4 linked regions of the Rattus norvegicus genome follow. The protein of the gene in region 1 binds, or shares a complex with, the protein of each later gene. Links are inferred from orthologs where the notes say so. Each region holds a gene or a part of one and is shown on either strand. Other genes may lie near its edges.

Region 1 (5,140 bases):
CTGTTTCCAAGCTGTTATAAGAGAATGGAACTTTTCTTGCCAATGAGTGTCTGCTCTTGGCTATCATATTAGTTTAGCGGATCTCAGAGACCTGACAGTTTTCCCCGTCCCTTATGCTGCCCAGATACAGACTCTCTGCAGTTTTGTGCATAGCTCTGGTGTGTGAGTCAATAAATTACTTGCCATTCTTGCAATACCTTACTGTTTGTTTCTCTTCAGCAAAGTTCATTCAAGCAAAGCCCACTGACATTCCACAGTATGTCAAACACTATGCTGGATGTTGTGCCTATAAAATGAATAAAGCATTATTTTGCATTCATCCATTCTGCTTCAGTAAATCTGGGGCACAAGCAGTATTTCTGTCTAGGAGTTCAGCGAGTAGTGTAGAAGACAACGGTATCCATGCCTTTCATGGTACGGTGTTAAGTATCACACAATGTGGTGTGGAGAAACAGAACTCTCTCTGGGGGTCTCTCTTCCTGGTAGTCTTTGTTTCTTTTCTACTTGTCTTTGTTTATAAGTAGACGTTTGCCAAATGATAGGGCCAGAAAAGGACGGGGCGGGGGGAGTATCTAAGGCACAGGTGTTGGTTTCAAAGAGGTAGTGAAATGGTAGGAGGAAGGGCCTGGAGTCTTCATGTAGGTGGATGGGATTGGTGTGGAATCCTGTGTGGAATTGTGAGAATAGGAGGATCAAACTGAGAGGACCCAGTAAAACACAGGGTAGAATTTCATTCCAAAGGCAAGTGCCAGAGGAAATTACCAAATGAAGACTCAGGAGGCAGAAGCTGTGATGAAAGCTGGCAAGCTCAGAGAGGCAGAGAAAGCACCCAGCTGACCTTCCTACTCTACCAGCTCTCCATGCACTCTCCAACACCCTTCAACTCAAAGTGCCTCCTTTCTCTTGCTTATGTTCACTCTCTGTCAGTTGGTTACTTGCTCTGCCTCTTGATCTAGGGTTGACTTTATTTAGCTCTGGGACCGAGGTGTGCGCACCAATACTGTTCCAGGCCACAAATACTTGTTTACAGTAAACAGAAAGTTCTGGGATCAAAGGCTGAGCCACAGTTATTAGCAGATTCTTCCAGTTCACAATCTCAGAGTTCATAGTGTGATTAAATATCCTGCAACAGGAAACTGTTTAAGCAGGGCAGTTAAATAATCAGATTTATTTCTTGCGTGGTGGGTCTTACTGACCCAAATAGATGGCATTTGGGCTTTGGCGTCTGAAAGAGTGTATTCTTCTTGCACCGTGTGAACTTATTTTTAAGTCTCGAAAAGGCATGTGTCCAGCATACTCACTTGTACCTTAGTGCCCACTTGTGCCAATGACATTGGGCCAAGAAAGTGACTTTTACCCCTAAGTCTGTCCTTTAAATGCCTAGCCTCTTCAGCTAGGGTTGGGTATGAATACATACAGTTTTTGTCTGTCTTAACCTTTTTTCCCCCATTTTTGGCACCTTTTCTTTAAATGCACTACTCAGGATTTGGTTTTTCCTTTCTGCACTTGGGTCTCAGGTTTGCATGTTGGCAGGAGTCACACCCACCTGAGAAATTGCGGAAGCAGGAAATTTGTCCCTCGCGGGACGCTGTCCGGACGTACCGTGCGCAGGCGCACTTCTTCATTCAGCGGCGTGTTCCTCTCGTCTTAAGTTTCTAGTTCCCGGCCGGTGAGCCACTCCGGCTTTTCGCGGTCTACTTGTCCCAGCGTCCGGCTCTGGACTGTCTATCGCTCTCTGACGTTCAGTCCCGGGTCGCTGCTTGTGCGCGCACGCCGCCTCACACGACAAACTTATGGCGGAGCGCGGGGAACTCGATCTGACGGGCGCCAAACAGAACACCGGCGTGTGGCTGGTGAAGGTGAGACGCGAGCCCCACGGGGCGCTTCCGAAAGTTCTGGGTCTGTCTTTCCCGGGCCACCGCTGTTCTGAGAAGCGGGTCGCTGTTGCGCCTGTTTGCAGGTTGGAGAACTTACTTTAGGGGCCACAGGGCATCTTTCAGTCTGTCTGTCAATTTCATCCGCCCACCATAGAACTCTGTTTACCGCCAAGACCTGGCCTTCCTGATGTTCCCGAGAAAGCAGTAAATTTTACCCCATGCCGGAAAAGCCCTTGCGGGTTTGTTTGTTTGTTTGTTTTTTGTCTTTGTTTTGGTAAGGTTAACTTTAGTCATGAATGTGTATAAATTAGGTGAGTAGATACACAGTTTTCTGGACCACAAAGTGGAACTGGTCCCTGTGAACTTTTGCTGTTTTGTTTTGAAACAGAATCTCTCTCTCTCTCTCTCTCTCTCTCTCTCTCTCTCTCTCTCTCTCTTCTCTTCTCTTCTCTTCTCTTCTCTTCTCTTCTCTTCTCTCTTTCTCTCTGTCTCTGTCTCTGTCTCTGTCTCTGTCTCTGTCTCTCTCTCTCTCTCTGCTGGTCTGGAAGACTTCTGTCGCTTTACACTGGTAAAGTGTTCCCTGAGTTGGTAATCCAATTGGAGTTTTCCACTGGTAAAGTGTTCCCTGAGTTGGTAATCCAATTGGAGTTTTCGAAAGACCTGGAAGTTCCGAATTCAAAGAGAAGTTTGTTGACTTAGTGTTTTTAAAGAGCGAGTTTAGGTTTCATGAAACTTAACCATCAGTAAATGTTTTAAACGGACACGTGCCAGGCTTTGTTTGCCCCAGTGGTCACCATCTATTTGGGTTACATTTTTTATATGGACTGGGGGACTATTACTCTGTGGGAAATCTCGTTTTAAAAAGCCGTATTTAAATGGGATCATCAACGTTTCCCAAAGTTGGTTTATCAATGATTTATCTTTATAGTGAGTGTCAATGTTTTAAGCACATGGCTGAGTTCTCATCAAGACAAGGTGTCTTTTCCTGTCCATTACTCTGAACAGCTCCCGTTTGCCAGTTCTGCAGACCATGTTAAGTTTTTCAAACCATTTAACAGTTTCTGGTGATTCTTTGTACCTGTACCCAGTGTTGATTGCCTCCACCTCCAAGTCACTTTCTTTGCACTTTGATTAGTGTTTGGCACATATTACTTTCCCAGTGTGTGATGAATATAAGAAATTGAAAAGGCTGTATATCAGAGAGACACAAAACTAAAGTGGGTGGGGGTTAGTCTTCTCAGTTTCATCAGATTAAGAGCTTATGCAGTTAGTGAAGCACACCTTTGGGTGTGTTTGTGGTGCTGTTTTCTGGAGGCAAAGTAGGTCATGAGGGCTATGATCTAATTAAGGGATTAGTTACTCCTTAGGTGGATTTGTAATATGGCGTCTCTGGGAAGTAGTGAAAGGTGGTGAGGTGAGGGCCTAGTTGGAAGAGGTAGATACTGGCGGTATGTTCTTAGGGCTGCCCTGGCCCTGTCTATATCTTCTCTATATCGTGGCCATTGCGATGTGAGCTTGCAGTGCTCCTCCTCGCTTTTCCACAGATAGAGACTAAGATACCCAGTGCAAAATAAATCTTTAATTGTTTCTGTCAGATATTTGGTCACAGTGACTAAAGTCTGATTAATACAAATAATACAGCAGAGGGTTGTAAGTAACAGGAGAAAAGAAAACCTACTCTCTTCCTTTCCTCTCCCTTCCCTTCTCTCCCTGTCTTTTCATCTTTCCCTTTCTCATTCTCTTCCTTTCTGTAGTTCAGGCTGGCCTGGAACTCACTGTGTAACCCAGGCTGGCCTTAAACTCATGGTAATCCTCCACCTCTGTGCGTTTAGAGCATCTGTGCTTCTTGCGTATTTATGTTAGATAAATAAAGCAGAGCTATCAAGTAGGTGCTCCTGTGGTGCTGCACACCTTTAATCTGAGTGCTTGAGAGGTTAGCCTGGTCTACATTTGTGAGTCAGGGGAATGTAGTAAGACCCAGAAGCCAGAAGAGGGCATTGGATCTCCTGGTACTACCGTTATAGCTGGTTATGAACTGCCATGTGGGTGCTGGGAGTCAAACCTAGGTCCTCTGGAAGAGCAGCCAGTACTTTTAATGCTGGGCCGTTTTTCCAGCTCCCATCAAACTTAAATATTCAAACCATTAAAAATTTCACACGCTATTTTGAGATACGCTGCCCACAATCTCACCTAGCTTTATTTCTGAGTCGTATCAGTATCCCTGGGTTCAGTTTTCATATCTGTAGACGGGGGAGAGTACATTTGAGTTTGAAAAGAGATTGAGGGGATGAATTTCCGATGTCTACAAGGTGTCTGACAGAATTGTCTCCTCAGCCTTCCTCTTTTCCAGCCTCCGGCATATCATCTGACACCCTTTGGTAGTCCAGTAAGTTAATATGATGAACTTACACAGAATCGAATACATAACAACCAGTCTTTCTTACTCCTTTTTTAAAACCATAACTGTAGTCAAGGTACTGCCCCACTCCCCCAGCCCCCATAATCTTGTTTCCCCTTTGCAGCCCCAACAGCTGTGTCTCAGTCCTGTATTCATTGTGATCATGTTATTATTCTGAGATTACTATGAGACAACTGGCACTCAATGAATACTTATGCCCCACAACACATATGCTTCGTGCTTTATTAAATCTCTTTGCTTCTCATAACAGAATAGCTGAAAGGTAGATACTGATTTCAAGATCTAAAGGACTGTGAAGAACAGAGGCAGATTACTTAGTAGAATTAATGTATTTTTTCTTCTTAGAATTTATCCCTTGCTTACTTCTGTATCTGGGTTTTAGACACAGTATTTTTATGGTTAAGAACAAAGTCCCTTGAGGTGCCTTGACCTTGAATCCTGTTCTATCATTTACTAATTGTATAACCTCAAGGAAGGTATATAATTCCTGGGTATATCATCTCTGAAATGTTTTGCTTTATTTTAGGTTCCTAAATATTTGTCCCAGCAATGGGCAAAAGCCCCTGGAAGAGGTGAAGTTGGGAAACTGAGGATTGCCAAGTAAGTTATTTATATACGTATATAAATATTATATATAATATATACATATAGTATATATGTATAGCACATATACTATAAGTTTTTAAAAGCTGTTGTGTTTGAAAATGTTTATAATGGCTTTTGAATTAATTACATTCTTAGAGAACTTATTTAGAAGATAAGAGTTATTGAGGTTGTTAAAGCAGGTCATGCGATACTTATATATTCCTTGAGGAGACAGGCTTGTACATGTGTGATAGGTAGT
Region 2 (4,579 bases), on another chromosome or scaffold:
AGTAATAACAGCGAGCGCTCAGTGACCACTCACTTTAAGCTCCCATAGCCATGAGTGAGTGGAGGTTAGTACTGTTTTAAGTACAGATTTCAGGCCTTTAAGCATCGGGTTTGCTAGGGAAGTAGTTCTGTTGTGAACCTGACTTACTTCATTCTTCAGAACACTGCTGGAAAGACACTGGGACTGTTGGAGCAGGTTGTCATAAATCTAGGTCATGTAGAGAGGGAAAGGCGAGGGGAATTTTGCTTTGTTTTGAGTCTGTGAGTACAGGAGCCTCTGAAAGGATCCTGAGGAAACAGAGCTCTGAGTTAGCAAAGCAGTATCTCAAGAGCGGATCCTGGACTTAAAAACAGAATGCATACACGGATGGACTAGTGTAAAACTGACCAAATTGTTTCTTTGCATTTTAGAGGCACAATTTTACTTTCTTAGATAATTTCTTATAGGAGTGAAACTCTAAACAATAAACATAGGAGAAAGCAAATATGTTATGGGAATGTTTTCATTTCCTTTCTTTTGGGTGGTTCTTCCTCCCCTTTCCTCCCATTATGAATTTACCGTGTGGTGAAATAAGAAAGTACAAATTGGGTATCCCTAACCTGAAAGGAATCAGCAACCCAGGAATGTTGTCTTTCTGCATTTTTTTCAGACTTTGAAATACTTGCATATAATAAGCAGTAAAAGTTCTCTTATGTTTCACATACACCTTTTTATACATTGTTAGAAGTTAATTTTGCATAGTATTTTAATGGTTTTTGTACATAAAGTAAAGTTTCATCAGGTAGAATTTTCCTGTAGTGACATCCTGTCAGGAGTCAAAAAGGTACAGATTTTAGAACATTGCAGATTTTGAGTTTTTAGACTAAATATGTTCAACCTATAGAAGTGACTAAGCAGAAAGTGAATGTCAGTCGTCCATATTGGGAGAAAGGACATTTCAGGAGGTGTAGAGAGAGGATTGGGATGACCATTTCAGCATCACTTTCTTTAACATCAAGGTTAGACAAACAGAAGGAAGTTGACCTGTCTTAATTTAGAATGCCTTTATTTCTCATTATTCTCATTAAGGACAAATGGGTGAATAGTTCTCATGTTGACTCCTATTGAAGAGATAGGAAATTTGTATTGAGCAAAGTTCCATAAAAGCAATTACGTAATGATTTTGAAATAAAAAGTAAAAAGATAAGCTGTGATTATTCAGGGATTGACTCTGGGAACTCTGTTAACAATACCTGACAACTGAGGTGAGGAATTACTCTAGAAAGTTTCTTGGAATGTAAAAAAAATTTCTTCAGCATAATAAACATGAGGTCTGATTAAGGTTTATTTTCCTTATATAAAACTTGGGTAAGAAAGGTTAATTCATGTGTGTGTGTGTGGGATTGTATTATTTCTTAGAATGGAAGAAATTTACAAACACGTAATAAATTAATGTTTTGCCTATATATCCAGAGTTTTCTTGAAGTCACTGAGAAGTCTTTATTGTTCTTTGTCTTAGTTGTGGGAGAATAAACTAATGCAGTCTAGGGCAGTAGATGGATTTCATTCAGAAGAACAGCAGCTTTTGTTGCAAGTTCAGCAGCAGCACCAGCCCCAGCAGCAGCAGCATCACCACCACCACCACCACCAGCAGGCGCAACCTCAGCAAACGGTACCTCAGCAAGCACAGACCCAGCAGGTTCTTATTCCTGCGTCACAGCAAGGTGAGGAGGCTAGAGCTCCCTGTCGTGGCTAGCAAATTGCACTTGTTTTTCAAAAGTATTCCTTTGACTTGAATTTCATGGATCCATCATCTTTTTTAAATAGACGCTGGGATCGGGTGATCTATGTGATCTTTTTCTTCTCTGTTGGCTGGTAGAGTGCTCGCCTAGCATATATGAAGCCCTGGGTTCATACATGAACCCACCACTGCATAAGCTGGGTATTGTGGAGCACGTCTATAATGCTAGCATTCAGGAAGACGCAGGGTGAGATATTAAGGTCATCTTTAGTTATTTCTGTAGAGAGTGAGTTGGAACCAGCTTTGACTACTTGAGACTTTGCCTCCAAACCAGCAAAACAAAATAACAAAGGGAAAAGTTAAGAAGAGCATCCCTGGGAGGGGAGCTACAATATGTGAATGAGCTGAGCTAGGGACCAGGTAGAGAGACTTGGAGTCCCAAGAGCATAAAGGCAGAAGACCCCTGTGGGGAGATAGGTAGTATAGACAGAGTCCCAGAAGGTTTTGAGCCAGCGAATCTGTTAAATATATCAGAAACATTACAAAGAAACCTTGTGCCACATAGGTTGGAGGTAAGGATCCATATTCCACACTTTGTATATATTGTATAAGAAAAAAAGAAAATGGGGATCCCCACCTATACAGACTTATTTATAAAGGGATTCATCATTTAATATAAGGTAGTTTTTCTTTATGAAACATGTTCTTTCAAAGACATGTTTGTTTTGTTTTGTTCTTGTATCTTCAATACTGAAGAAATTTTGTAACTTTGGTAGTCTGAAAATTTAGTCCACCTTTTAATGCTTGATTTAAAGAAAGAAAAAAGTCATTTATTGACTCTGCCATAGTTTGCAAAAGTCAAATCATGTTATAGGTCCTGTTCTGTTAACTTTTATTGGGGTGTTTGCAGAATAGCTATTAGCTCAATCTCACAGTTGAAGAAAATCTGGAAAGATTAAGAATCTGCCATACCATTCAATTCAGCACTCAGGAGGAAGAGGCAGGCAGATCTCTGATTTCAAGGCCAGCCTGGACTACAGAATAATATCCGGGACAGCTAGGGCTACATGGAGAAAACTTGTCTCAAAAAACCCCAAAAACAAAAAAGGATCTCAGTACATAAAAAGGATCTCCGCCATACATAGTTTTTTTTTAATATGACAAAAATCTATTGAGTTACAACATTTCCTGAATCTTATAGTTAGATGAACTTGACTGGCAAGGAAACTTCAGGTGAATGAAAGCGTAGTTTAAGGTGGTGACTGTCCGTGACTCATTTGCTTCTTCTGTGAGTATGTGAAATGCACAGGGAATAGTTACATGGAGCAGAAAACCTATACAATTTGGTTTACCATTTACAGCTAATAGATTCTGAGGATCTTTTTTTTTTTTAAAGTTTTGTATATTGTGTGTGTGTGTGTGTGTGTGTGTGTGTGTGTGTGTGTGTGTGTAGGAGCGATAGTCCGTGGCTTGGTGGCAACTACCTTTGCCTACTGAACCATCTCACCAGCTCTTCATGCCTATATTAAGTCTATACCATAAAGTAGACATCCTTTTCATCTTTGATGACTGTTCCTCCTATTGCCTATAGGCATGGCACTAGGATTTTAGGTCATCATAAATTAAAATTGATTTTTTTCACTCAGAGAATATCAAGATAATGGGATTATCTGTGTATTCTCTGAAATTTGCGGGGTCAAACAATTACTTCCGCTTTTTAATTAACATTGCCATTGTTCCTTGTGTGTGTGATGTTGTGCGCACATGCAGATGTAGGTGCTCATGTACTGTGGTGCATGTATGGAAGTCAGAATACAACTTTAGGTGTTGATCCTTGCTTTCCACTTGGTCTGAGACAGCATCTGTGTGTTTTCTGCTGTATGCACTAGGCTACCCACCCTCAAGCTCCCCTCAAGCTTAGCGCTCTTCTGTCTCTGGCCCACCCTCCTGGTAGCTCCATACAACAGTGGTATTAGGGTGCTCATGCTATTATGGCTTTTATGTGTGTTCTGGAGATTCAAAGCAGGTCCTCCTGCTTGTATAGCAAGCATTTTTACCCACTGACTTGTATTTTTCAAATAGTTAATTAAAATGCCTTGACTGTGGTAGCAGTCAGGTTGCTAGAAAAGGTTGTAGGGTTTTCGTTTGTTTTTAGAACACTGCTTTACTATGTCGACCTGGCTGGCCTTGAACTCAGAGTTCTATCTGCCTCTGTTTCCTGAGTGCTGGTGTTAAAGGCATGCACTGCAATGCTGGCTAAGGTATTGTCATTTTATTAATATTTTTCAATATAAAATAAATGTATTCTAGCTGTTGATTTCCATAGAAAATTTTTTAAAAGTCTAAAATAGCAAATACTTTGAGAGTATTTTCAAGTAGGAAATGTAACAAAATCATGAAAAAGGTTTTGACATTTTATAACATTCCTGCAGCTCTGTACCCTTGTTTGTAAATGGACCTTTTATTCTTTTTTTTCTTCTATTTTTGTAGCTACAGCACCACAAGTTATTGTTCCTGATTCTAAGTTGATACAACATATGAATGCATCAAGTATTACGGTGAGACTTGAACATGGCACTTTCATCGGCTTTATTTATTTCATCTAAAATGACAGTTATTTCTTTGGGTATAATTTAACAACTTGAGGTTTATGGAAGATTTCAGCAAAATAGCTGTTAATGACAAATCTAAAGTGTAGTTTAATCTTAGACATTAAGGTTTGTAAAATAATGTAATTTTCTTCTTAAGAAAATACCAAGATACTCTTTGTGGGGGTTAGTTCATAGCTGTAAGGAGCCAGCCAAGCTTGTACATCTGCAGATCTCTGTTTGAGGCCAGCCTGGTCTGAACCCTGTCTCA
Region 3 (5,220 bases), on another chromosome or scaffold:
GCTGTATATGTATGGGCCACATGTGGGGCAGGCTCTGAATGGGTGTTCCTTCAGTCTCTGTTTTAATCTTTGCCTCTCCCTTCCCTGCCAAGGGTATTCTTTTTCCTCATTTAAAGAAGGAGTGAAGCATTCACATTTTGATCATCCGTCTTGAGTTTCGTTTGTTCTAGGGATCTAGGGTAATTCAAGCATTTGGGCTAATAGCCACTTATCAATGAGTGCATACCATGTATGTCTTTCTGTGATTGGGTTAGCTCACTCAGGATGATATTTTCCAGTTCCAACCATTTGCCTACGAATTTCATAAACTCGTTGTTTTTGATAGCTGAGTAATATTCCATTGTGTAGATGTACCACATTTTCTGTATCCATTCCTCTGTTGAAGGGCATCTGGATTCTTTCCATTTTCTGGCTATTATAAATAAGGCTGCGATGAACATAGTGGAGCACGTGTCTCTTTTATATGTTGAGGCATCTTTTGGGTATATGCCCAAGAGAGGTATAGCTGGATCCTCAGGCAGTTCAATGTCCAATTTTCTGAGGAACCTCCAGACTGATTTCCAGAATGGTTTTACCAGTCTGCAATCCCACCAACAATGGAGGAGTGTTCCTCTTTCTCCACATCCTCGCCAGCATCTGCTGTCACCTGAGTTTTTGATCTTAGCCATTCTCACTGGTGTGAGGTGAAATCTCAGGGTTGTTTTGATTTGCATTTCCCTTATGACTAAAGATGTTGAACATTTCTTTAGGTGTTTCTCAACCATTCGGCATTCCTCAGCTGTGAATTCTTTGTTTAGCTCTGAACCCCATTTTTAAATAGGGTTATTTGTTTCCCTGCAGTCTAACTTCTTGAGTTCTTTGTATATTTTGGATATAAGGCCTCTATCTGTTGTAGGATTGGTAAAGATCTTTTCCCAATCTGTTGGTTGCCGTTTTGTCCTAACCACAGTGTCCTTTGCCTTACAGAAGCTTTGCAGTTTTATGAGATCCCATTTGTCGATTCTTGATCTTAGAGCATAAGCCATTGGTGTTTTGTTCAGGAAATTTTTTCCAGTGCCCATGTGTTCCAGATGCTTCCCTAGTTTTTCTTCTATTAGTTTGTCCACTCTATTTTTAAAATAAATGGTGTGAAATAATTGAGTGTAAACGTCCTGAACCCAACAGATTTTTACTGAGTTAAAAGTTTGATCTGTGAGAACACATACCACCTGTACTCTATTGAATTGATCAAACACAAGAGGGAGAATACTACGAGAAAAGCTAAAGCCACCAACTAGTGGAAGTAATTGATGGAGTTGTCCTTGTGAAAACCTTAGTTGTGAAAACCTTGGCTTCAAAAAGGAAGATGGGCAGGCGTTGTGATTTGCGCAATTAATTTCAGCATTGAGGCGGCGAAGGTAGAGAACTGCGCCGGTTTAAGAGCAAGCTCAGCCTGGGCTACATAGACTATCAAGCCTCGGGCTTCCCCTATCATTCCATTCCCCAACATAAAATAGAAGAGAGGTGACAAGAAACTAAGAAAACTGGAATTTGAAAACAACAAACAAACAAAAACCTGCATGGGTATTGAACAATTTGAAAACCGTGATATTGGGAAGTGAAGTGTTGGTAGGGTGGCCTGCTGGTGTTCGCCCAAGCAATGGCTGGGTTAAGATTCCAGCAGCACCTGTTTTGGCTTCCTGCTCTATCTGCCGTTACACAAGCACAGACTCTCGAACGCCGAGCTGTGGGAATGTTTTGCTACCCTGGAGAGAGGGGCAAATCAAAACAAAATCCTACAGGAATTAAGGAGAGAAACACTATAAACCAGTCCCCAACAAGCGCCCTAGTTCTTCGGTACTGCCAGGCAGAAAGGGACAGGGCTTTTGCGTCATAAGTCAGCGCCGGAAGTTGGCGAAGCAGCGCCGGTAGTGTCTCTTGCTTCTAAGAGCCGGAGAAAGCGTTTGCGTGCACAGAGGAGGGACGCTTTCCGGAGCTGCGGAGGTAAGGGATCGGCGGGTGATTTGGGAGGTAAATTGGAGGCAAAACTAGGAGAGACACCTGGCTTTAAAATATCCCTGGACGACCGAGAGCGGTAGCACACGCCTGCCATCTGAGCGCTTGGGAAGCAGAGGTAGGAGAATTCTGCCATCAACAAGCACCTTGACTTTCAATCTAAGGCTACAAAGTGAGTTCTCGGCTAACCTGAATTACAAAGTGAAGACTCTCAAAGCCTTCTTAAAGAACCAAATGCGAAAATAAAGATCCCCGGTGGAGTTAATGTTGAGACAAGCTTTGACGGAGCTACTGCTCCCAGCTCAAATCGGAATTCCTTTGCGGAGTGATACTGGACAAACCAACATGTCCTTAGCCTCCGTTTCTTCGTGTGTAATACCCTCTAGGATCCTGAAGAGTAATAAACATTCATAATGTATTTACTATTGTTGAAAATGTGCTGTATCCTTCAGACCCAGCCCACATCACTGTTTAGGGGAAGTAGATAATTACTTTTTTTTTTTTTTTAATTTCCCCATCCGTAATATTGGGTATTGATTCTTGGGCTTCTGCACACTAGGCAAACATTCTACTGAGGTTTTCCTCTTTGGTCGGAAAATCAGAACCTCGTATAGCTTCTGAGAAAAAGATAAATCAAATGGGGCATGTTTTGTGCGAAGGCCCTGTTACTCAGTCTTTGGCTCTCATTTCAGGCACGAACAATGGACACCCAGAAAGATGTTCAACCACCAAAGCAGCAGCCAATGATATATATTTGTGGAGGTAAGATTAACATTTAAATAATGCTTTACTTAGGAACGCCCCCCCCTCCCATTAAAAAGAATCCTTCCATACATGAGTACAAATCTTTAAAATTATAACGTGGAGCACTTTAGCGATTGTTAATTTTAAAATCCCTCTACCTTATTAAGATTTCTTCCTTTTATCTGGAAAAGGTGTACTGCCTACAGCTCTTCTTTCTCCTTGGTCTGTTCAGTAATAAGAATGTACTTGGATGTTTTGGTGCCCTGGTTTCCTCCTGTTTTTAATATGTTGTTACTGTTTGCTTCCCTGGAGTGTTTCTCTTTCAGGCTTTGAATAAATGTGCTTTCTTTCCCAGAGTGTCACACCGAAAATGAAATAAAATCCAGGGATCCAATCAGATGCAGAGAATGTGGATACAGAATAATGTACAAGAAAAGGACTAAGAGATGTATCCTTTTAAGTATACTTTTTAAATGTGAAGAGGAAGTAACTAATACTTGGGTTGATAAAGACTAAGATCTGGGGCTGGAGAGATGGCTCAGTGGTTAAGAGCACTGACCACTCTTACAGAGGTCCTGAGTTCAAGTCCCAGCAACCACATGGTGGCTCAACCACCTAGTAATGGGATTTGATTCCTTCTGGTGTGTCTGAAGACAGTGACAGTGTACTCACATACATGAAATAAATAAATCTTTAAAAAAAAAAAGACTAAGATCTGATCAAAGTAGTAATAACTTTTGGATTATTTTTTAAGCAGAGTGCATGTGGACTTATTGAGAACTGAAAGAGTGGAGCCTCCACAGGAGGTATACCCAGATTAATTATTTTAATAGGATTTATTTTTCCCAAAACTTGTGGGGTAGAGACAGGCAGCTCCTTGTGAATTCCAGGCCAGTCTGGTCTACACTTAGGATTCCAGGCCAGCTAAAGCTACTTAGTGAGACCCAGTCTCAAAGGACCAACTAGGGGCCTGAGAGCTGGATCTGCAGGCAGGAGCATTGCTGCTTTTTCAGAGGGCCTTAGAACCAACATGATTGCTCACAATCACAGGTGGTCGGATAGGCCGACCTCTGACCTACCAGTGCGCGGGACCCAAATGGTACATACATGCATACAGGCAAAAGCACTTGTGCATAAAATAAACCTGAATAAAACAAATTTTAAAACCCAGTAAATACATTTTTAATTCATTTATTAAGGTTATCACTGGCCTTCCTAAACCTCTGTGGCCTTATACTGGCTAGTTTTGAAGGCCAACTTGACACAGGCTGGAGTTATCACAGAAAAGGAGCCTCAGTTGTGGAAATGCCTTCGGGAGACCCAGCTGTAAGGCATCTTCTCAACTAGTGATCAAGGAGGGAGGACCAAGCCCATTGTGGGTAGTGCCATCCCTGGGCTGGTGGTCCTGGGGTTCTATAAGAAAACCAGCTGAGCAAGCCACGGGAGGCAAGCCAGTAAGTAACATCCCTCCATGGCCTCTGCATCAGCTCCTGCTTCCTGACCTGCTCGAGTTCCAGTCCTGACTTCCTTTGGTGATGAAACAGCAATGTGACTGTGTAAGCTGGATAAACTCTTTCCTCCCCAACCTGCTTTGTGTCATGATGTTTGTGCAGGAACAGAAACCCTGACTAAGACAGGCCTCAAACTCAGAGATCCACCTATCCCCGCCCACCACCTCTACCCCCCAAATCCGGGATTAAAGACATGTACTCCCAAGGCCTGGCAGAGGTTTTTATATAAAGTAAATGTGATTAGCATTTTCATGTACCATTCATTATGGGCTTTCAGTAATATAAAAACTAGTTGATAAGTCTTTTTTACTTTTCAGGAAATCTTTGTTTTTAGTAATAGTCATTGTTGGTTATTAGTTTATGAACAATATAAAGTACGGAAGAAGAGATTAATAACAGTGGAAAATAGTGAGGCCTACAAATTGTTTCATGGTAACGGACACAAACTCTTAAAAGTCATCAATTGTTTCAGTGAGTTTTTTTAATTTGTGTTTATTTTTAATACTACTTATATTAATATATGTTACATTATTAATTTATATTATCTTGTATCCAAAAAAGTAAGCTACTGAACATGGCAGTAGTGTACTTTATTTTTTTAGATAATCTCTGATTATAGTGAACTTCATTCTTTTGTTCATTTTATATTCAATTGCAAGCTTGGTGCAGGGGGTAACTTGGAAGCCTTAGTCTTACACAATTTTAAGTACTGTTTAAAATCCTTAACTCAATTCAACAGTGGTGGTTTTTGATGCTCGATGAAACAGTGGAGTTGAGGAATGTCTTCATACATTTGCCTCGTTGATGTTTCTCTTTAATGTATAGCATTTAACTTAGCTTACTTAATGACTACAACTGTGTACCTATGATTTCATTTTAGAAATGCCAATTGTATTTTAATACTCTGTATAAAGGAAATTTCGGGTCAACATATGACTTAATTTATTGTCCTTGTAATTCCTCATACAGT
Region 4 (5,109 bases), on another chromosome or scaffold:
TTGGTCAGGATCTGGTTCCAGGTTTATTCTAACATTTACAACCAAGACAACGACAGAGTACTTTCATTGTTAAAAGGTGACTTTTAGGGGCTGGGGATTTAGCTCAGTGGTAGAGCGCTTACCTAGGAAGCGCAAGGCCCTGGGTTCGGTCCCCAGCTCCGAAAAAAAGAACCAAAAAAAAAAAAAAAAGGTGACTTTTATTATTACTGCTGTGTGTGAGTGCCGGAAGGAAGAGGCCAGGATGCCCAGCTCCATGGCACAGGAATGGAAGTCAGTTGTCTTTCCCTCTGCTCAGGTCACAGCACAGCAAGGCCTTTCCCAACTGAGCCATCTCAGCAGCCTGCGACTTTCTTTAAAATACCTAATAAAGCATCACCAAGTCCTTACATGGCCCCACCATTTTTGCCCTTGGTAAATGTGTTTCTCATCAGCACTGGGACTTCCTTGTGCCGTTTTCTTATTCTTGTTGGGCTTGATAGTGATGTAAGAATAACAGAATTTGCCCCCATAAGAATTGGAGAGGGATTGGGGATTTAGGTCAGTGGTAGAGCGCTTGCCTAGCAAGCGCAAGGCCCTGGGTTCCGGTCCCCAGCTCCGGAAAAAAAAAAAAAATGGAGAACCTCTAGATGACCTTAGTTGCTGTCATTCCTTCCTTTCCCTTGTCTTGTCTATGATAAATTCATAAGTCAGATCAGGGCAAACGAGAGCTTTCTTTTAAAAATTGTAATATAATCTTCTAACTCCCGGGGAGTTGGAAGGGCTGAGGAGGAAGAGATTAAGATTGATTGTGCGAGGGGTTGGGGATTTAGCTCAGTGGTAGAGCGCTTGCCTAGGAAGCGTAAGGCCCTGGGTTCGGTCCCCAGCTCCGAAAAAAAGAACCAAAAAAAAAAAAAAAAAAAAAAAAAAAGATTGATTGTGCGGGTTGGGGGATGGTGGAGAGATGGCTCAGCAGTTAAGTACACTGGGCTGTTCTTCCAAAGGGCCCGGGTTCAATTTCTAGCACCCATATGGTAGCTCACAGCTGTCTGTAATTCCAGTTCTAGGGGACTCTGACCTCACAGACATTTTGATTGATTGAGCATTTAGTAGCCAAATAAGGGCGATTGTGTTGATCCTCGACTCATGAAAACTCTCTGCACTGTGCATTATCTCAGTTTTGTGGAAAACAGCACAGGTCAAGAAATCCAGTTTTGAGGTCTCTAAGTCTAACATACCACCACTGAGCTGCTGTAGCGCGTCTCCGATAGGAGACCCTGGAGCTCCTCCAGATTGGGTGCCTCCTCCTGTCTAGCCCTGACTGAGATTAGCTTTAGCTTCACAAGGGAGAGAGGCGCGGAACCAAATGGTCTGGCTTAGGGTGTTCCTAGGGAATCCTAATGAAAAGTCACTGTCTCTCGGCCGGCCTTCTTGCGGTGCCTTTCGGGAACTGTAGTCAGACCCTCCTCACAGTGCTCCAATGTAGACTAGGAGAGGACTACAATTCCCAGTATGCCACGCGACAGGCGCGTACATTGCCTATTCTAATCCCCTTTACTCTTGACACTTTTTCTGCGCTCCCTTCTCTTTGGGCTGCTTTTTGGCTGGGTCCTGTCTGTGAAGTTCTCCGCGGTTCTCCCACGTTTTAGAATTTTCATCTTTTATTTCCAGGAGTCAATGCGAGACATTAGCTCTGATTAGGCGACGGCTGGTGACCCGGGGTGCGCGGAGGGGATCCGAGTGGTGAGGGGGTGTGAGAGGGGTCAGGGAGGGAGAGAGTTGAGTGAGAGGTGGTGTGAAAGGAAAGCTGGGGAGAAGTGAGGAGCTCGGAAGCGTGTGTCTCAGTGAGAGGGGTGAAGCTGGCTCGGGGGGTGGGGGGAAGGGATAGAAAGATATTTAGGTTGGTAAGCGTGGAGGCAGTTTATAACCGTGTCCCCAGATGAGAGCGCTAAGTACTTGACAGATTTATAGTGATTTGACCAGGAGGGTGGACAAGAGAGAAGCTTAGGCTCAAACAAGCATCTTTGTCACTGCTTAGGTCAACTAGAGACATCATTGATAATGCAAAACACTTTTGCAAGTAGGACACAACAAGTAATTCAGTCACTTTTGTACACACCAGTGAGGATCTGGATTTGATCCTCAGGACCATACACAAAATGAGAATAATCTCACCCCCTGGAGACTGAAAAAAGGCTGAACTTAAAGGCAGATGTGGGATGAAAAACCTGGTGGCCACTTGTGACATCGAGGTCACAAAGATGGGTCAGGGGTTCAAATCCATCCTTGGCTACATAGCAAGTTCAAGGCCATCCTGAGCTGCATGATGAAGAAGCAGGACACGAAGGGTTTGGGAGGAATGAGTGGCACCAGACAGGAAAGTACAGAAAGTGAACCTGATAGATCTGGAGTCATAGATCTGGAGTGATATGGGTCATGCGGGAGTTCTGACACTTGTCCCTCTCAGGTGATGGAGATCACCCCCGCGAGGGGTGGACTGAACCGAGCACACCTACAATGCAGGAATCTACAGGAGTTCTTAGGCGGCCTGAGCCCTGGGGTGCTGGACCGATTGTATGGACACCCTGCCACTTGTCTGGCTGTCTTCAGGTGAGGGGCGTTTGGAGAGTGTAACGGGGCCTGCAGACTGAAGTTAGTTATCATGGAGGAGAGGCTTACCTCAGTGAGTACCAGGGTGTTAGACAGTGTGTCAATCCAAAACAGAGGTTGTGGGGGCAGCGGGACTGGTAAGGATGTGGGAGATGGCGTGAGACATTTGAGAGGCAGATGTTGCAGGGTATTTGATCACATTGTGAACCCCAAGGTTATGAACCAGAAAAACCTTGTATTGTGGTTCAGTCCTACCATACACCTTTTAGCCAAGGGGCCAGGCAGATAAGGGCAGAGATGCAGGTGTGAGGTTGCTTCTGATAACATTGGCCTCTGAACCTTACAGGGAGCTCCCTTCCTTGGCTAAGAACTGGGTGATGAGAATGCTCTTTCTGGAGCAGCCTCTACCACAGGCTGCCGTGGCCCTGTGGGTGAAGAAGGAGTTCAGCAAGTGAGTCCTGTGCAAGCGTCATTTCTCAAATTGCTTTTGTTTGGAACACTGCCAGGGTGCACACACACAGGAGCTGGGGATCAGATCTAGGGCCTTTCAACAGACTCTGCCCTACACAAGGAAAACCCTCCAGAATACACTTGCAGTGGTTTCCATGGTGCAGAGTTGTGATCTCTCTAGCTGTATACTAATTAGAACAAAACAAACAAAAAGACCAAAGGAAGAAAGGAAAAAAGTAGCCAGCGAAGTAGGGAGGTAGAGACAGGAAACAGTAGATTGTAAGGTTACATTGCAAGTTTGATACATTGTAAGGTCGAGGCTGTCCCAGGCTTCATAGGACCCCTTCTGAAACAAAACAAATGGGGGAGGGGGGATTGACTTAGAAAACAAAACAGAGAAACCAACAACAATCAAAACTAGCTATGTTGTCCTTAGCATTGTAGTGCAGGTTGCCTCACCCAGTGCATGTTGCTTCCCTCTGCAACACTGTTCCAAGGACTGCCATTGGGGGAGAGAGAGCTCCCTGGAGGTCTCCTTTCTATTCATGACACCTCACCCAACTCTGCTTCCGTCCAGGGCTCAGGAGGAAAGTACCGGGCTGTTGAGTGGCCTCCGTATTTGGCATACCCAGCTGCTCCCCGGTGGACTCCAGGGCCTCATCTTGAACCCTGTCTTCCGCCAGAACCTCCGAATTGCTCTTCTGGGTGGGTACGTCATTCCCTTCTCTTCCTGAGCTAGGCCAGGGGAACAAACTGCTTACTACACTGATGGGGGGAGAAGCTCTTGAGAGACCTCCCCAGAACCTCTTCCCCCTCACTCCCACCCCTTCGGGAAGCTCCTTCAAGAATACATTGGACCAGGTGTGGGTGTGGGCTGCAGAAAATGTCCTCTTCTCATGGTTCATGGGGCGAGGGAAAAGACCTAGAGAAGCAGGAAACAGGGCTCCTTATTCCTGTTCATCCTGGCCACAGGGGCAAGGCCTGGTCTGATGACACAAGTCAGCTGGGACCAGACAAGCACGCCCGGGATGTCCCCTCACTTGATAAGTACGCCGAGGAGCGCTGGGAGGTGAGGAGTGGGCCTCTGTGGGCCTCCGCTGTGCGCCCTGTTCCCAGTAGCCCTAGAAACCCCAGTCTCCTGACCCTTTTCATCTCTAGGTGGTCTTGCATTTCATGGTGGGCTCCCCCAGTGCAGCTGTCAGCCAGGACCTGGCTCAACTCCTCAGCCAGGCCGGGCTTATGAAAAGGTGAGGAGGGCAGAGCATGGCTGCTCCCTGCTCAGCCATCTCCTTGGGTCTCAAATAAAGTGGGTATCTTCTGGGGCTAGGAGGGAGTGGAGAGAGTTGGCTGAGAGGAGAGGCCTAAGTTGGTGTAAGCAGACTAGGTGTAGCCCTTTGCAAGCTGCTACCATCAGCTCTCTCTGTCACTAGCACCGAACCCGGAGAGCCACCGTGTATCACTTCCGCTGGCTTCCAGTTCCTGCTCCTAGACACGCCTGCCCAGCTCTGGTACTTCATGCTGCAGTATCTGCAGACAGCCCAGGTAAGAGCCAGGGCCTAGGACGCTGCTCACTCTGCTCAGGTCCCTGAGTAACTACCAGCCTACGGTGCTCCTTAACTCCCTCTTTCTGTCTCATGTCCTGTCTCTCTGCCGTTTCCTTCTCAGAGTCGGGGCATGGATCTAGTGGAGATTCTCTCCTTCCTTTTCCAGCTCAGTTTCTCTACTCTTGGCAAGGTAAGTAGGGAGCGAGCTGGGGGACAGGGAGGTAAGGAGAGGTTATGGCGGAAGATGGTAATAACCACAGAACCACCCGAGAAGGCAAGAGGAGGAGGAGACAGGCTGGGTAGTGACCGTGGGTGTGTCATAGCCCCCGATGGCCATCTCTTCACCAGGACTACTCCGTGGAGGGGATGAGTGATTCTTTGTTGAACTTCCTGCAACACCTGCGTGAATTCGGGCTTGTTTTCCAGAGGAAGGTATGTACACCCAGCTGTAGGCCTCTAGGACAGTAGGGTGTTTGGGGTGCAGCCAAAAGACCTAGCTAGGACTGAGTGCTTGGGTCATTTGAGGGGG

What was found.
Region 2: Gtf2f2 (region 1) and Gtf2a1 share a complex: the UniProt entries of both Homo sapiens proteins name them as parts of the TBP-based Pol II pre-initiation complex. The link is inferred for Rattus norvegicus from reciprocal best matches to the Homo sapiens genes GTF2F2 and GTF2A1.
Region 3: Gtf2f2 (region 1) and Polr2k share a complex: the UniProt entries of both Homo sapiens proteins name them as parts of the TBP-based Pol II pre-initiation complex. The link is inferred for Rattus norvegicus from reciprocal best matches to the Homo sapiens genes GTF2F2 and POLR2K.
Region 4: Gtf2f2 (region 1) and Gtf2h4 share a complex: the UniProt entries of both Homo sapiens proteins name them as parts of the TBP-based Pol II pre-initiation complex. The link is inferred for Rattus norvegicus from reciprocal best matches to the Homo sapiens genes GTF2F2 and GTF2H4.

Annotation. Positions count from the first base shown.
Region 1 is NC_086033.1:57,733,019-57,738,158, reverse strand, and holds the start of Gtf2f2 (general transcription factor IIF subunit 2), read left to right. Parts: upstream 1-1,681; 5' UTR 1,682-1,793; coding exon 1,794-1,859; intron 1,860-4,822; coding exon 4,823-4,896; intron 4,897-5,140. UniProt on the Homo sapiens protein: TFIIF is a general transcription initiation factor that binds to RNA polymerase II and helps to recruit it to the initiation complex in collaboration with TFIIB.
Region 2 is NC_086024.1:116,234,925-116,239,503, reverse strand, and holds part of Gtf2a1 (transcription initiation factor IIA subunit 1), read left to right. Parts: intron 1-1,498; coding exon 1,499-1,703; intron 1,704-3,283; exon of another isoform or gene 3,284-3,426; intron 3,427-4,210; coding exon 4,211-4,278; intron 4,279-4,579. UniProt on the Homo sapiens protein: TFIIA is a component of the transcription machinery of RNA polymerase II and plays an important role in transcriptional activation. TFIIA in a complex with TBP mediates transcriptional activity.
Region 3 is NC_086025.1:69,239,333-69,244,552, forward strand, and holds the start of Polr2k (DNA-directed RNA polymerases I, II, and III subunit RPABC4), read left to right. Parts: upstream 1-1,900; 5' UTR 1,901-1,983; intron 1,984-2,687; 5' UTR 2,688-2,696; coding exon 2,697-2,757; intron 2,758-3,094; coding exon 3,095-3,187; intron 3,188-4,989; coding exon 4,990-5,012; 3' UTR 5,013-5,220. UniProt on the Homo sapiens protein: DNA-dependent RNA polymerase catalyzes the transcription of DNA into RNA using the four ribonucleoside triphosphates as substrates.
Region 4 is NC_086038.1:3,074,581-3,079,689, forward strand, and holds the start of Gtf2h4 (general transcription factor IIH subunit 4), read left to right. Parts: upstream 1-1,529; 5' UTR 1,530-1,697; exon of another isoform or gene 1,698-2,443; 5' UTR 2,444-2,446; coding exon 2,447-2,586; exon of another isoform or gene 2,587-2,932; coding exon 2,933-3,037; exon of another isoform or gene 3,038-3,382; intron 3,383-3,495; exon of another isoform or gene 3,496-3,613; coding exon 3,614-3,745; exon of another isoform or gene 3,746-3,771; intron 3,772-3,887; exon of another isoform or gene 3,888-3,958; intron 3,959-4,008; coding exon 4,009-4,105; intron 4,106-4,194; coding exon 4,195-4,283; intron 4,284-4,466; coding exon 4,467-4,578; intron 4,579-4,701; coding exon 4,702-4,770; intron 4,771-4,928; coding exon 4,929-5,012; intron 5,013-5,109. UniProt on the Homo sapiens protein: Component of the general transcription and DNA repair factor IIH (TFIIH) core complex, which is involved in general and transcription-coupled nucleotide excision repair (NER) of damaged DNA and, when complexed to CAK, in RNA transcription by RNA polymerase II.